Yarrowia lipolytica: one gene and its partner. The protein of the gene in region 2 purifies or fractionates together with the protein of the main gene of each other region. This does not show direct contact. Links are inferred from orthologs where the notes say so. Each region holds a gene or a part of one and is shown on either strand. Other genes may lie near its edges.

Region 1 (6,549 bases), on a different chromosome or scaffold from region 2:
TAGCTTTGGGACAAGCGTCTGCGACACGTCATTCCAGCTAACCCAATCCGATTGGCTACTTAACGGCCCTCCAGAAGAGCCCACGACCTTTTGTTACATTTGCCATGCGAGGTTCACGCTGCTGAGCACGTCGCATTGTGGGCGGATCCGAGTCGCCCTTGGACAAGAGCTGCCCGGCGCCCCCGCAGCCGTTGGAAAAAACAAGAACAATCGGGCGGCTGCAAACGGCTGTACACGTAAAAAAAACTAGTTAAAAAACTTGTTATCATGTTTCACCCGAGATGAGTGGCTGACCAAAGACAGTTCTGCGGGGGTACAAGTCATGTGATGGAGACAGCTCCCGTGTTTGACAAGGTGAGGAGGTGAGGAGGTGTAGGGGTAAAAGGACACAAGTAAAGCAATGTAGTGTCATATTGTGTGTGTTTGACCAGTTGAAGAGCACGATACTCGCAGTTGCGTGATACACCTCATTATGGACCTCCAGATCACCTTATGGTTCTTTTTTTAAACGCTCATCGCATATTTCACTTGATAATCGTAAAAGGCTGGGCCGAGTATGTACTGATCCATGAAGTCTTGAGAGCGTGCCACCTAACAAGTACTGACACAGTAATTCACGACAAGTACTCGTATAGTACATCCCGTACAGTAATTCTCGTACCACCACTCGTACAGTACATCACGTACAAGTATGTACTCATACTCGCACTGCAGAATTAGCTTGGACAGTCTCACACAGTAATTAGGACCCTGTGACATGATCTTTTAGTAATTCAGTACAAGCATGGCATGGGAACATGTACAGAAATGCCTGCATACTATTACTGTACTATAGATACCATGATTATATGCATCTTTGCGACTTGGGCTGCCTGCAACAGAATCCCCCAAATATGCAGAAACAACTACCTATTCACGTTGTCAGGCGGCGACGATGAAGGATGCGATAAGATGCGATAAGATGCGATAAGATGCGATAAGCATGCATGTGACCTATCGGGGTTCCGAGACATGTCACATTGCAACCAGTCGGGTTTGATTTGTTAGATTGCTTTGTGCTACAGTAGTCCACTTGACGCCCCGGTTTGGCTACCATTCAGCGTGACATCCGGCGTTAGTGTGAATAGTGGCTGGGTTGATTTATCGGGGTTACACGCTCAGTTGATAAAAGAAAAAACAATGGGTTATATTAACGAGCTCAGCTATTCAGCTCTACCACTTTTACCCTTCTAGCACCCTCAGCAGTATGGCAGTATGATGTACGGTGTATGGTAGTGATTGTACGTACACGCCTTCTGCAAAACGTCAGTCCAGGAACGTTTTTACAAGTACAGTATGTACTGTTCTCGCACGACCTTTCCTCCAACCGTAGATTCACAGCAATGAAGGCCATTAGATCAACGTCAGCTCTTCACTTACTAATGTACGAGCGTGTAGATCCGCTAGGTAAGTACAGCAGTACAGTATGTACGTACTCATAGATACAAGTACAAGCATATGCCACTGAGTACTCCGGCCTGTCTATGAACGATATGGTTATTAGCACGCAACAACAGTCTTTGTCCAGTGATCACCAGTAACCGTGCAGACAGAGGGTTATCTCACATGGCCTACATGTTATCTCACATGAACTACGTTATCGTTTCTTTGTCATATCGTTAAGAATAATACAATGCTCTATATGTTAAGTCCTGTTTTTTGGGGGGGGTGTGTAAGTGGGAGATGCTTAGAAAGTAGTCTTCTTACCCTTGAACTCGCCAAGGGGAGCGGTGTTAGCGCCGGTGTTGAAGCCGCCTCGGCCACCTCGGCCGCCAAAGCCTCCTCGACCGCCTCGACCGCCGAATCCGCCTCGTCCACCTCGGTCACCACCGAAGCCACCTCGGCCACCTCGGTTACCGCCGAAGCCACCTCGTCCGCCTCGTCCTCCGCCGTTGAAGCCACCAGCGGGCTTGGGAGAGGTGTAGTCGAGTCGGAAAGATCGTCCGAGGTACTCGTAGCCGGACAGACCCTCAAGGGCTGCCTTGGCCTCGTCAACGGAGCCAAACTGGACGTAGCCGAAACCCTTGGGCTGCTCGGTCTCAGGGTGGGTGGGGAGTCGGATGGAAACAACAGATCCGTACTCGCCAAAGATGCCAAAGAGATCGTCTCGGTTAGTGTCGAAGGACAGGTTGCCGACGAACAGAGTGTCAGCGGGCTCGGAGAGCTGGTCGCCGTACTGAGAAGATCGGTCTCGCTGCTTCTGCTCGGGGGTCTGTCGAACGTTGGTAGAGATATCGAGTCGAACGGTTCGGCCGTCAATCTCCTTGTCCTGGAACTCCTCGACACACTTCTGGGCGTCAGCACCAGAGGCAAAGTCGACGTATCCGAAACCCTTGGATCGACCAGTGGCCTTCTCGGTGATGACTCGAGCGGAAACGGCGCCAGCATCAGCAAACTCCTTGGTGAGCCAGTCGTCGTCAACGTTCCAAGACAGACCGCCAACGAAGACGGTCTTGAACTCGGGCTCAGCGGCAGCCTCGGGCTCAGCGGCAGGCTCGGCCTTGGTCTCGGCCTTGACCTCAGTCTTCTCCTCGGTCTTCTCGTCGTCAGAGTCAGAGTCGGAGTCAGAACCAGAGTCGGAGTCAGAGTCAGAAGAATCGGAGTCGGAGTCAGAAGAGTCGGAAGAATCCTCCTTCTTGGCCTTCTTGACAACCTTCTCCTCGACCTTCTTGTCCTCCTTCTTCTCGTCGTCGGAAGAGTCAGAGTCGGAGTCAGAGTCAGAGTCAGAGTCGGAAGAAGAGTCAGAGTCAGAGTCGGAAGAGGAAGAGGCATCGCTCATCTCCTCATCCTCGTCGTCGGAGGAGTCGGAGGACTCGGAAGAGGACTCGTCCTTCTTCTTCTTGGAAAGCTCAGCAATGGACTTCTCGATGGCCTCGGCCTTCTTGGAAGAAACCTTGGACTTCTTGTCAGTCTTGGAGGGCTTGGAAACGCCCTTGGAAGCAGATTTAGAACCCATTATAGAAATTTTTTGTGTAATGGAGTAGTGTGATGAGGAGGAGAAAGTGCCCTTACTGCCCTTCTTATTAGATTTTTCGCCCTGCAAAATTTCTAGACAAACTTTCCTAAATTTTTTCAATCGGACAAAGAAATCTCATGCACTATATGCACCTCCCTGGAGCCTAATTGGATAGGTCATGTGACTTGGCCAGCCACGAATGGGAGGTGGATGGGCGTCTATGGGTGCGGAAACAGCTCCAGTAGGGACCCACGGGGAGTTCTATGTCGTTCAAATCTCGTTCCAGGCTTCCCAGCTGCCTGCTCGGCGCCAATTCATCTTTTATCGCATCTCTCTTTGATGCTGTGAGGCTCTGTATTCTTTTGTGTTTTTTTTTTATCGATGAAGAAAATTTCCACCTTAAAAACTTGAGGCGGAAAGAAGCTTGTGGATCAATCCGTTTGGGGGCGCCCAAACGAAACGAAAAGAGGTACGGGGCACGTGAGACAAACAGGCGAAACGCCGGGACTCGCTAAATCGACTCCACACGGAATTCGAACAATTTCCCCCGCCTCTGTGTCGCTGTAGAGCCACTTTACATCCTTCTCTCGCATGGTAGCTAATCGCACAGCGTCTGCATGTACCGTATAGGTCGTCTCCGGTTAGAGATGACCCGGCCTAACCACCGTCATGTACGCTGACGATAATGGTGCATGTCCAACGGCGAGAGGGACGGAGTAACAAAGTAAGAAATTTGCCGCGGCGGCTCTCCAAACACAAGAGGTGTCTGCAACTGTGGTACATTACAGACAAAAAGAGACATGATGGCAACCGTGTCTCCGACTTATGCTAGAAGCTCATGGTCTCCCCTGGCTGGCCACAAGTGCTGTCAACTTCTTACCACTCAATTGGATCGACGCAACATTGCTACACTAGCTTTCAGTTAGGTTTCAATGGAGGGTGGATGCTGAGCTACTGCGGCGAATAGTCGTGTGACGGTCTATTCTTTTTTAGCTTGGCCCAAGACAAGATGGCTTAGGTAAGCTGGAACAGTGATGAGATGGAGGTAGGAGCGTGTGCCGTGGAAAGACTCTGGTGGCTGCGAGTCTTCAGGATGGAACATGTTACATGGACACTTTCAGAGAACATTGATGCTGATCGAGACCCTCATCATTACAGGTATTGTACTGCTTCTGATGCTTGCACTGTAATGCCAGCCCTTAGCTAAAGCATCGAGTCTCTTGAAGGTTAAGGCAAACACACTGAAAGGACATCAGTGAACGTGCTCCTTACCATCGAACATGCTCCTTACCATCGAACATGCTCCTGACCATCGAACATGCTCCTGACCATCGAACATGCTCCTTACCATCGAACATGAACCATCCCCAGATTGGAGGTCCTCTTCATCTACATTACCTGTTCGCTCGTGACCTTTGGCCACTCACTACCAAGAAGAAGTATTTTATCCTATCTACACATGTTCCTTTCCAAAGGTCTCATTTCCTCCATGAGTGTCCCTAACAGAGTGTCAACGCCATCGTACCTTAGAGCTGCTTCACGTTGGAACCGTCGTAGGCCAACTCCTGGACCTCCCATCGGCAGTCGATGCCCTCCTTGTTGAATCGCGACACAATCTCCTTGGCGATTGTCTCGAAGTTGTCGGTGGCCAGAGCCAGAATGGTGGGCCCAGCGCCAGACAGACAGATGCCCAGCAGACCCTCGTGAGTCTTGGGGGTAACGGAGGCCAGAATCTCAGGCAGACCGGGGATCAGGGTCTTTCGGTAGGGCTGGTGGACCTTGTCCTGCATGGCCTGATAGATGAGGTCGGCCTGGGGAGGCGATCGGGTGAGGGCGGTGGTGAGAACGGCCAGTCGCTGCAGGTTGAAGATCATATCTGAAGCAGTGTAGGCAGTGGGGAGCACTCCTCGGGCCGAGGCGGTGGAGACCTCAAAGTTGGGAATCACCACAATGGCCTTGATTTCTCGGCACCAGTCGTACTTGATGTGGTGTCCGATGTTGAGAGGAGGCTCGGGGGGTACAAGGCCGGTATCTCGGCCTCCGGCAGGCTCGGGGAGAACCTCAGCAAGGGGGATCTCCACTCGCTCGAGATCAGCAGCAGACAGCTCCCGCAGGTAAGAACCCACAAAGCCGCCCATCATGGCTGCGGTGATGTTGTCGGGATGTCGCTCGATCATGAGACAATAGTCGAGCATTCGCTGCTTGGAGAAGCCCAGCTTTCCGACCTCGTTTCCGAGCATGACACCAGCCACCACAGCCGCTCCAGACGAGCCCAGACCTCGACCCAGAGGAATGGGGTTGTTGACGTGCACAAAGGTGCCCGAGGGGAAAGATCTAATGCCGTTGCATCGCAGAACGTAGAGAGCCACTCGGGTGACAAGGTTGTGGTCACTGTCGAGAGGAACGCCGTCAGCTCCCTCGCCCTCGTAGGTGATAATGCAGTTGTTGGGGTCCTTTCGGTCCGAGGTTTTGGACGAGTCGATTTCGACGTTGATCACGAGGAACTTGGCCAGAGCGAGGCCGAGCACGTCGAAACCGGGACCAATGTTGGCCGAGGACGCGGGCACAGAAATTTCAAACTTTCGAGACATTTGTGGTGGAGTGTGTTAAGTCTCTCTGCGACTGATTTCGGAGTATTCAGTCATTTGGAAAAACTAAACCTTGTTTAGAGACGTGTTCCATGGAGGGTCTGGGTCAACTGGAGGGGCTCAAATGCAACGGAAGCAGTGAAAGAGCCACAAGCACACAAGTACACAAGTCACGTGATAAAACAACAGGATGGAGTCTCGAGAATCCGCCCCAACCCCTCTCTTCTGCTACATCAACTGCTTATCTGTGCCATCCCCCCCCACAGAGCCTAATCAGTTCATGTCTGATGTGAAATCCAGGTTGTGGCTCAAAATGAAAAAAACTTGTGGCGGTGTAGCTGAAACGGTACAACGGATTTGTGGCTTGTGTGGAGTTACCAGGTTGTTGGAGTGTGACTGAACCGCAAGTTTGTCGAAATGCAGCTTGCAAACCTCGACTTTCCAGCACCGGCATCGGCCCCCCGCCCTCATGTGCTTCCACCATGTCTGGTCTCCCCTCGCAATGGCGCCCATAGCCGATGTATCGAGAAGCACCGGTTTTTCGCTCTCTTATTGGTGATGTGACATAATTGCGGTTGAGAAGGACAGATGGTGCAGAGTATATGGACAAGTGCAAGACTCGACATGTATATATATATATACACAATGTCCGTTTGTGTCCATGGAGCGTAGAGACGTATATCTGACATTGTTGTGTGGGTAAGATGTTGACATGGCGGCAGCAGCTATCGTAGTCAAGTAATACGATACTGTAGCTGTAATATTCGTACACCAGTGATGGAGGGCTAAATTGGTACGATAAGAGAAACTGCGATTTTTTAGAAAAGTGGGACAATAACGACAAATAGTATACTGTAGTGTCTTGTCGGTCTTCTCTGCCTTTCGGTGTCACTTTTAGCCGCCCAAAAGGTACCATGCCATGTCATCGTCTGAACTAAGACCTGGTCCTGGCCCAATCTCGTCCAA
Region 2 (7,758 bases):
CCAAATCCACACATGTGTCACATTCGTGAGACCGCGTTGGTTTCCCCCATTGGGAAGTCCGATGTCGGAACGTACCGGGGAATGTCGGGATTAATCGGAGAGTTACGTGGCTCCCCCAAAAGCAAAGACCCAAAGAGAAAAGGTTCAAATGCGGGCTTAAGGAATTGAACGGAGGAGCGGGTATACTGTAGTGTTAAGAGGCGATGAGATGAGGGGATGCATCGAGAGACAGAGAGGAGGTGGCACTGTAGCCGCAAATATGGGGTAAATCGGTTATTGATAGTTAGTCTACAGGAACGGCTGGAAGACAATGATTCGTCTTTCACATATTGTACAAGTATTGTTGTTATCTATGGCTCTATCCTCGTTGCAAGTATGTACAGTACTGAAGAGTGTACGGTGCGACCAGTACACCGTGCGTAGAAGTAAGTTGTCGATACACCACTACATACTGTACTGTACTCCCTCTGTTAGAGTCACTTCATAGCTATATAATGATAGAAATGTGAAACATACACGGCTGAAAGAAGAAGAAGAGGAAGCCCTGGGCTGCGTCAATATTGGTGTAATAGCCGTGACCCCTCAAGGATGGACTCGAACACTGTGTTTCTCTTCTCTCTAGTGTCGGCTCGGCTAATGTCTAAACTAATTATCTGACTAAATGACAATAGCTTACTCCAATAGCTCAACTAAAACCGTCTAGATGGTCCAAAACTATTATCTCAAGTTCTGGACCGAAGAAATGGTGAAAAAGGTAGCAGTGACCCTTTCACATTGGACACTCTAAACTGACAATCTTTCACTACAGTACTTTTTTTGGAGTCGTTCTTTGTACTCGTTACTAAGCATGCATCTTGAATCGAAAACGTGCATGGTGATGCAGGATTGCCATGATGTGAGACTCCAATACGACCAAACAACTAAACAACACAACCACTAACATCGACCAGATAACAGCAAAGCAAGTCTTTCGAGCGACTGACAGATTAAGAGTGCCACAGACACTCGATACTTACCTCTGATCTTCTACTAACCTCTATCTGAGGTCACCACAACACCTACAATAGCCTGAAAGGACCCTAAGTCATAACATCATCTCTACACATGGTCCTAGTACCCCCACTCAATTTCGCCTTTGTGGCGGACGGAATATACCGGTCTGGTCATCCCCTGCCCATCAACTACCCGTTCCTCAACCAGCTGGATCTCAAATCGATCATCTACTTTGGCGACAGAGACATTGGCGACAACCAGGACTACATTGAGTGGGCCAAGAGCGAGGGAATCACACTCCACTACTTCCATGTGAACTCGGCCAAGGAGCCTTTTGTGGAAAACGACCCCGAGGCCATCAGACAGGCTCTTCAGATTCTGCTGGACAGACGCAACTTCCCCATTCTGGTGCACTCCAACAAGGGCAAGCACAGAATAGGCGTGCTGGTGGGCGTCATGCGAAAGATTCTGCAGGGCTGGTGTCTGGCGGGCATCTTTGACGAGTATTCAAGATTCGCGGCGGGCAAGGGAGACTTGGATGTCGAGTTTATCGAGACATTCGAGACGAAACTGCAGTTTGACTTGAATTATGCCCCAGAGTGGTTGGCTATACAATAACGGTAATACTGGCGAAAGGTCAGGAGTGGACAAAAGCTGGACCTGAATTGCGGAAAAGACTGACCGTAGGTAGGGTGGACAACAGCGTAGGTCGTTCTTCTCGAGAATGAGACAATGGAGCTACTAATGGTGGTGCAACAGCTGATTCAGGTCGTACTCGTAAGGGTGACTTGGTGAGGGTAACTTGCGAGGAAATACAAGAAGACGAGACAAGGCCAGGACTCGACGTCGACTTGATTGCGCTATCACTACTCTACCATACTTATAGCATCTGTAGCTTCAGTGATGAAAGAGTAAGTCAGCGGGTATCATTGGGCAATATCTGCTCAGGTGCTTTCAGGTCGCGGTTCGAGATCTCAAAGAAAATAACATCATATAATACTGAACCAAACATGATAGAAAAGTACATACTGTACTCGTAGACTACAAGTACTGCTTGTCGGTAAAGCGGTAGTGGTTGGGGGAGTGAGTAATCGTAGCTAGCTGTGTACTTTGACAGCTTGTTGATACATTCATGGTAAAGGAAACCCTCATCAACTGCAATCTCTGTCGTAATGAGACTATGATATCACCAAGGTGGTTCTTTACATTCTCTCGGTCATCCGCTGGAGGTTGTTTGAGATTAGTTAGAGCTGGTTCACATTAGGTGGACATTGAACAGTGCTTTCCTTAATACAAGTAGACGCTCACAATGGATAAAGAGGACTCTGTCTTTGACAACCAACAACCATCATTCCACTGTGCCATCGGCTTGATGTCGAAATGTCACCGAATCCAAGTCTGAATGAGGACAAAATTTGTTAGTTTTTTACTTGACACATTACTTAGGACATTGCTACAGGACCAATAATGGGCCCCCATTTGCAACCACAGATAACACATCCTGGCACTGGTGTATGACGGGAAGACTATACACCACACCACACCAATATGCACTGTGGCTACACTTTGTTGAGCGCATATCGAAAATATGGACGTGGATAACAGGACTGAAAATCTCTCATGTGGCGGGATTTTGATGCGGAAAAAACATAGCCACGTGTAAAAACAAGAATTACAATGATGCAGACACCCCAAAGTCGAATATATTCAACCAATCACTCTCCACAAGCATTTTGCTATGTCTCCCTCCACTGCTGGAAACCTTATTTGAACATAGTCAAAATCGAGTACGTGGCACAACCATAACGTACAGGCGACTGTTTTGAGGGGTAAAACGCAACCGAGGAGGTGGCACACATCCCAGAATGCGTATGGATATGGGAGATGGAAAATAGATTGTTCTGACTAATCAACCAAAGACAGCTTACATAATACTTCTGCTGTGGTGAAACGGCGGCAACGGGAATCTTCCCTTCACAACATCACTCCTCCCAGGCAGGGCTATTGTCGTGTTGGGCATTTAGCTACAGTAATGCCAAAAAAGTTTGAAGTCATGCAGTGACAGAACAACTGAAGAATGTTCGCAATGAGATGATGAGAAGGGCTGGGAACGATTTCAATTGATTGATGGGGACAATGGTAGGTTTGTTTGCTCCTAATCTATGTCTAATCACGTGATCTGGTCTTATCTGATGAAACAACACAATATATGCCATGCACTGGCAATGTCTATCTGTCAGGCTTCCAGACTTGCGTTGTAAAAGTTACTCTTACTTGCTGTGAGCTGACGGTGTCGGATGAGAAAATACACAGCGGTGTAGACAAAATTTTACCGGGGAAAACAAAAAATGGCAAATGCTCCGTTTCTTGTGATTTCCAGCCTCTCGCTAAACCCATTCTGGACACTGGGGAAGCACTAAGAACAGCTTCCGACAGTGTATCATGCTACACTAGCAGCCCAACTTTAAAAGCTGGCGGTATAGAGAGGTCCGATACATTGCAGTGCGCGTCGCGAAACTTTTGCTTCTCTCTTTTCTCTTTTTTTTTTTCTTCCTCTCTCAGCTTCAGACGGCCGCGAAACGCAGAAATCAACGTGTTTTTGATCAGACGGGTCCCGATTCTTTGTCCGCTTCGCCCTCTGATTCGATCTGTCAATCGACCTATTAATCGATTTGTTCACCGACCTGTTTCACGACTACTCACAACCATGCCTGCCAGGATCATCACTTCGGATGACGAGGACGACCTCATGCCTCCCTCTCGACCCTCCACTGTCAAGCGAGTGAAGGACGAAGACGACGACGACGCGCCTGTAGTGAAGAAGGTCAAGAAGGAGTCCTCTACTCCTAAGGCTTCTCCTAAGGTGAAGAAGGCTACCACCACCACTAAGGTTAAAAAAGAGAGCACAACCAATGCCAAAAAGGCCCCTGTCAAGAAGACCACCACAACTACCATCAAGAAGGACCCTGTGAAACAGCAAACGGTCAAGAAAACCACCATCAAGAAGGAGACGGTCGGAGCCGACGGCAAGATCAAGAAGGAGGAGACCGAAGAGGCCGAAGATGTGTACAAATGGTGGGAGAATGACAACCAGGACGATTCCATCAAGTGGGAGACTCTAGAGCACAAGGGAGTCATGTTTCCTCCTGAATACGAACCATTGCCCAAAAATGTGCTCATGAAGTACGACGGAACTCCTGTGGTGCTCCCCCATGCTGCTGAGGAGGTTGCAGGCTTCTTTGGAGCCATGCTGGAAACCGACCACGCCAAGAACCCGACTTTCCAGAAGAACTTCTTCAACGACTTCAAGGCGGTTCTCAAGGAGAGCGGGGGCGCTAAGGACAAGGATGGTAACAATGTGCAAATCAAAGCCTTTTCCAAGTGCGACTTTTCCGACATGTACGCTCACTTTGAAAAGATGCGGGAGGAGAAGAAAGCCATGAGCGCCGCGGAGAAGAAGGCAATCAAGGCCGAGCGAGACAAGATCGAGGAGCCCTTCAAAGTGTGTCTGCTCAACGGCCGAAAGGAACAGGTTGGCAACTTCCGAATCGAGCCTCCGGGTCTATTCCGTGGCCGAGGAGCCCACCCCAAGACTGGTAAGCTCAAGCGTCGAGTCATGCCCGAGCAAATCACCATCAACATTGGCAAGGGCGTTCCTGTGCCCGAGCCTCCTGCTGGACACAAGTGGGGGGAGGTGCGACACGACAATTCGGTTGCATGGCTTGCCATGTGGCACGAGAACATCAACAACTCCATCAAGTATGTCTTGTTTGCTGCAAATTCGTCTCTCAAGGGAATGTCCGACTACAAGAAGTTTGAGAAAGCCCGAGAGCTCAAGAAACACGTCGCTACCATCCGAAAGGACTACGAGAAGGAGCTCAAATCAGAGGCCATGTTTGAACGTCAGAGAGCCACAGCCATGTACCTGATTGATGTGTTGGCTCTGCGAGCTGGAGGAGAGAAGGGAGACGATGAGGCCGACACTGTGGGTTGTTGTTCTCTTCGATACGAACACATTACTCTCTCTCCGCCAAACATCGTGGAGTTTGATTTCCTCGGTAAGGACTCCATTCGGTACCACCAGGAGGTCGAAGTGTCTCCTCAAGTGTTCAAGAACCTGCGCATCTTCAAGAAGGCCCCCAAGAAGGTTGGAGATGATATCTTTGACCGTCTGGACCCTTCTGTGCTTAATAAGCATCTGCAGAACTACATGCCTGGTCTCACCGCCAAGGTTTTCCGAACCTACAACGCTTCCAAGACCATGGATGACCAGCTGGCTCTCATTCCCAACGAGGGAACTGTCGCTGAGAAGCTCGTCAAGTTCAATGCTGCCAACCGAGCCGTTGCCATTCTGTGTAACCATCAAAAGACCGTGTCCAAGACGCACGGCGAGTCGGTTGGCAAGATTGAAGACCGAATCAACGAGGTGGTGTGGCAAAAGTGGCGTCACAAGCGAATGTTGCTAGATCTCGAACCAAAGCTGCTCAAGAAGGAGCCCAAGCTGTTTGAGGATCTCGACGAGCTGTCCAAGGAGGAGAAGACTGCTTGTGCCAATCGACTTCTTGAGAAGGACTCGGAGCGATGGACAAAGAAGTTTGAGCGGGACAACGAGAAGCTGGTGGCCGAGAAACAAAAGCCCAAGCCCAAGTCCGAGCTCAACGCCAAGCTCAAGGACCTCGCCGACACTAACAAGCAGTATCTCAAGGAGATCAAATCCAACAAGGTCGAGGGTAAGGGAACTGTGGAGAAGCTACGTGCCCAGGTAGAGAAGCTGGAGACCCGGGTAACCACGATGCGAATGCAGCTCAAGGACAAGGAAGACAACTCGTCTGTGGCGCTGGGCACCTCGAAAATGAACTATATTGATCCTAGATTGACAGTCAAGTTCAGCAAAAAGTACGACGTGCCCATTGAGAAGCTCTTCACCAAGACCCTACGGGACAAGTTCCAGTGGGCCATTCAGAGTGCGGACGAGGACTGGGAGTTCTAGCTGTATGTATGTTATAGATAAGTTATTGTAGATTACGAAAGAACGGGAATAACCTACCGTAGATGGGGAACGGACAACAAGTCCCGGTACAGTACAGTACTCGTACCGGTACAAGGATGTCGTACGATTGATTCAATGGGAAATAATGCAGCAGCGACCGGAGCAAATTGGCGTAATGGAGACGATTGGCCGTAGGTGAGGCATAAACAAGAACCACCATCTGGCTGTATATTGAGTATAAAGGTAATATTCGATTGAATTTTGCCCTCCTCAGTCCTGTCATTCACACGATGTTATCTGATGGAGGTCTTACGGTTCACACCCACAGTACCAGTCATGACCCAGAGTTGTATCTATATATGTATCTCTATCGGTGTCTCAGGTTCCATCCCTGGTCACCAAAAGTCATTACTTCCACTCAAGATCTTACCAAAAAGTCAGAATGCGCCATTGATGAGCAACTTTTGAGTCGCGAGAACCAAAAAAAAAAATAAGCTACAAAACAAGGTGTATACATACATGTAGATGGCGCAGTACACTTGAGACAATGCACGAGGAGGTTATATACGGCACAACTTCGGTACATTCGGTACGATACGAGTATGTACTTGTACTACAAGTGAGTAGTAGACTTCTTTGGGTCGATGTTTTCAAGATTTCGGACGGTGAATTTTGTCTGGTGACAGGTTGATGACACACAAGTGTCCTCCAATCACCAATCATCCCTGGTGTGTGTATCAACTGCATTGGCACCATGTCCATCAGCCAGGGACTTGCAAGTAGGACATTGTCATGTGGATTGATGCTTTGAATCACATCTTAGTTTGATTAGTATTTGAAAAAAAATTGCGAGGATCACTGAAGCCAGTGTGTACGTACCGGGATTGGTATAGTAGTGTGTACGGAGGATGCGGTCAGCTTCACCACGGTGCCAACTGGAGTATATTATTGACCATTGTGCGCTGTTGCTGCTTCGACCACCAAGGTCAACCCGGAACAGATATTGCAGAACCCCCCAATTGTATACTCTTACATAACTCGCTAAAAATGTTCATTTTCAGTTCCGTGGTTCCGATGTTGCATCCGATACACAAGGTTGAGATGACGATCTAATCCTATTGATGGAAAAGATTGATTTATCTGATTAGCTGAAAAACCCAAAAGAATCTCTGGAGAAGGATAAAATCAGGGGACAGGCACGGTGCCTTGTCTTGGCATGCGCCTAGCCTCGGAGGCCCTGCCAAGACGGGAATGGGTGACGCCCAGAGCTTGGATACTTGTGTCAGTTTATAAAGTCGTACAGGGGCCGACGGAAGGGCAGATCGATTACTGAGCGTCAAAACCAACATGAAGTTCACCCTTCTTCTCGCCGTTGCTTTTCTGGTCACCCTGGTAACTGCTTACAGAGATCATCCTGGTGATCATGTCCTTCTCGTCACCAGTACTGTTCAGGGAGCTACTGGCAAGTTCAATTTTGATTTCAAGCCTGTTAAAGGCTTTGGAGCAGCTTACTACCAATCGAGATGGGATAACAAGCCGTTCATTCAGACTCGAGCCATCTGGTACCGTGCCGTTCTTCCCGATGATGAGCAATGGAAGCGGGCTTTGGACAAGGACATTATCCAGATCTACAACAAGCGGGGAATGCTCAACCTCACCATGGATGACATGATGGAGGTCTACGAGAACGGAACCAAGTATGCCGTATCCAACCAGAACACCTCTGCAGTTCTTCATGCTCCTGTCGCTTTCAATCAGACTGCTTATGATGAATA

Evidence for each region.
Region 1: the proteins of YALI1_D34487g (region 2) and YALI1_F17988g purify together in Saccharomyces cerevisiae (affinity purification with western blotting; 3 studies listed by BioGRID). This does not show direct contact. The link is inferred for Yarrowia lipolytica from reciprocal best matches to the Saccharomyces cerevisiae genes TOP1 and NSR1.

Annotation. Positions count from the first base shown.
Region 1 is NC_090775.1:1,795,265-1,801,813, reverse strand, and holds YALI1_F17988g (uncharacterized protein), read right to left. Parts: upstream 2,996-6,549; coding exon 1,727-2,995; downstream 1-1,726. Other genes in the region: YALI1_F17962g (uncharacterized protein), read right to left, coding at 4,522-5,586; YALI1_F17953g (uncharacterized protein), read right to left, coding at 5,825-6,499. UniProt on the Saccharomyces cerevisiae protein: Involved in pre-rRNA processing. Specifically binds nuclear localization sequences. Candidate for a receptor at the nucleus that may be involved in both RNA and protein transport. Binds telomeric sequences of the type (TG[1-3])n in vitro.
Region 2 is NC_090773.1:3,444,123-3,451,880, reverse strand, and holds YALI1_D34487g (uncharacterized protein), read left to right. Parts: upstream 1-3,202; coding exon 3,203-5,983; downstream 5,984-7,758. Other genes in the region: YALI1_D34508g (uncharacterized protein), read left to right, coding at 1,105-1,611; YALI1_D34446g (uncharacterized protein), read left to right, coding at 7,331-7,758.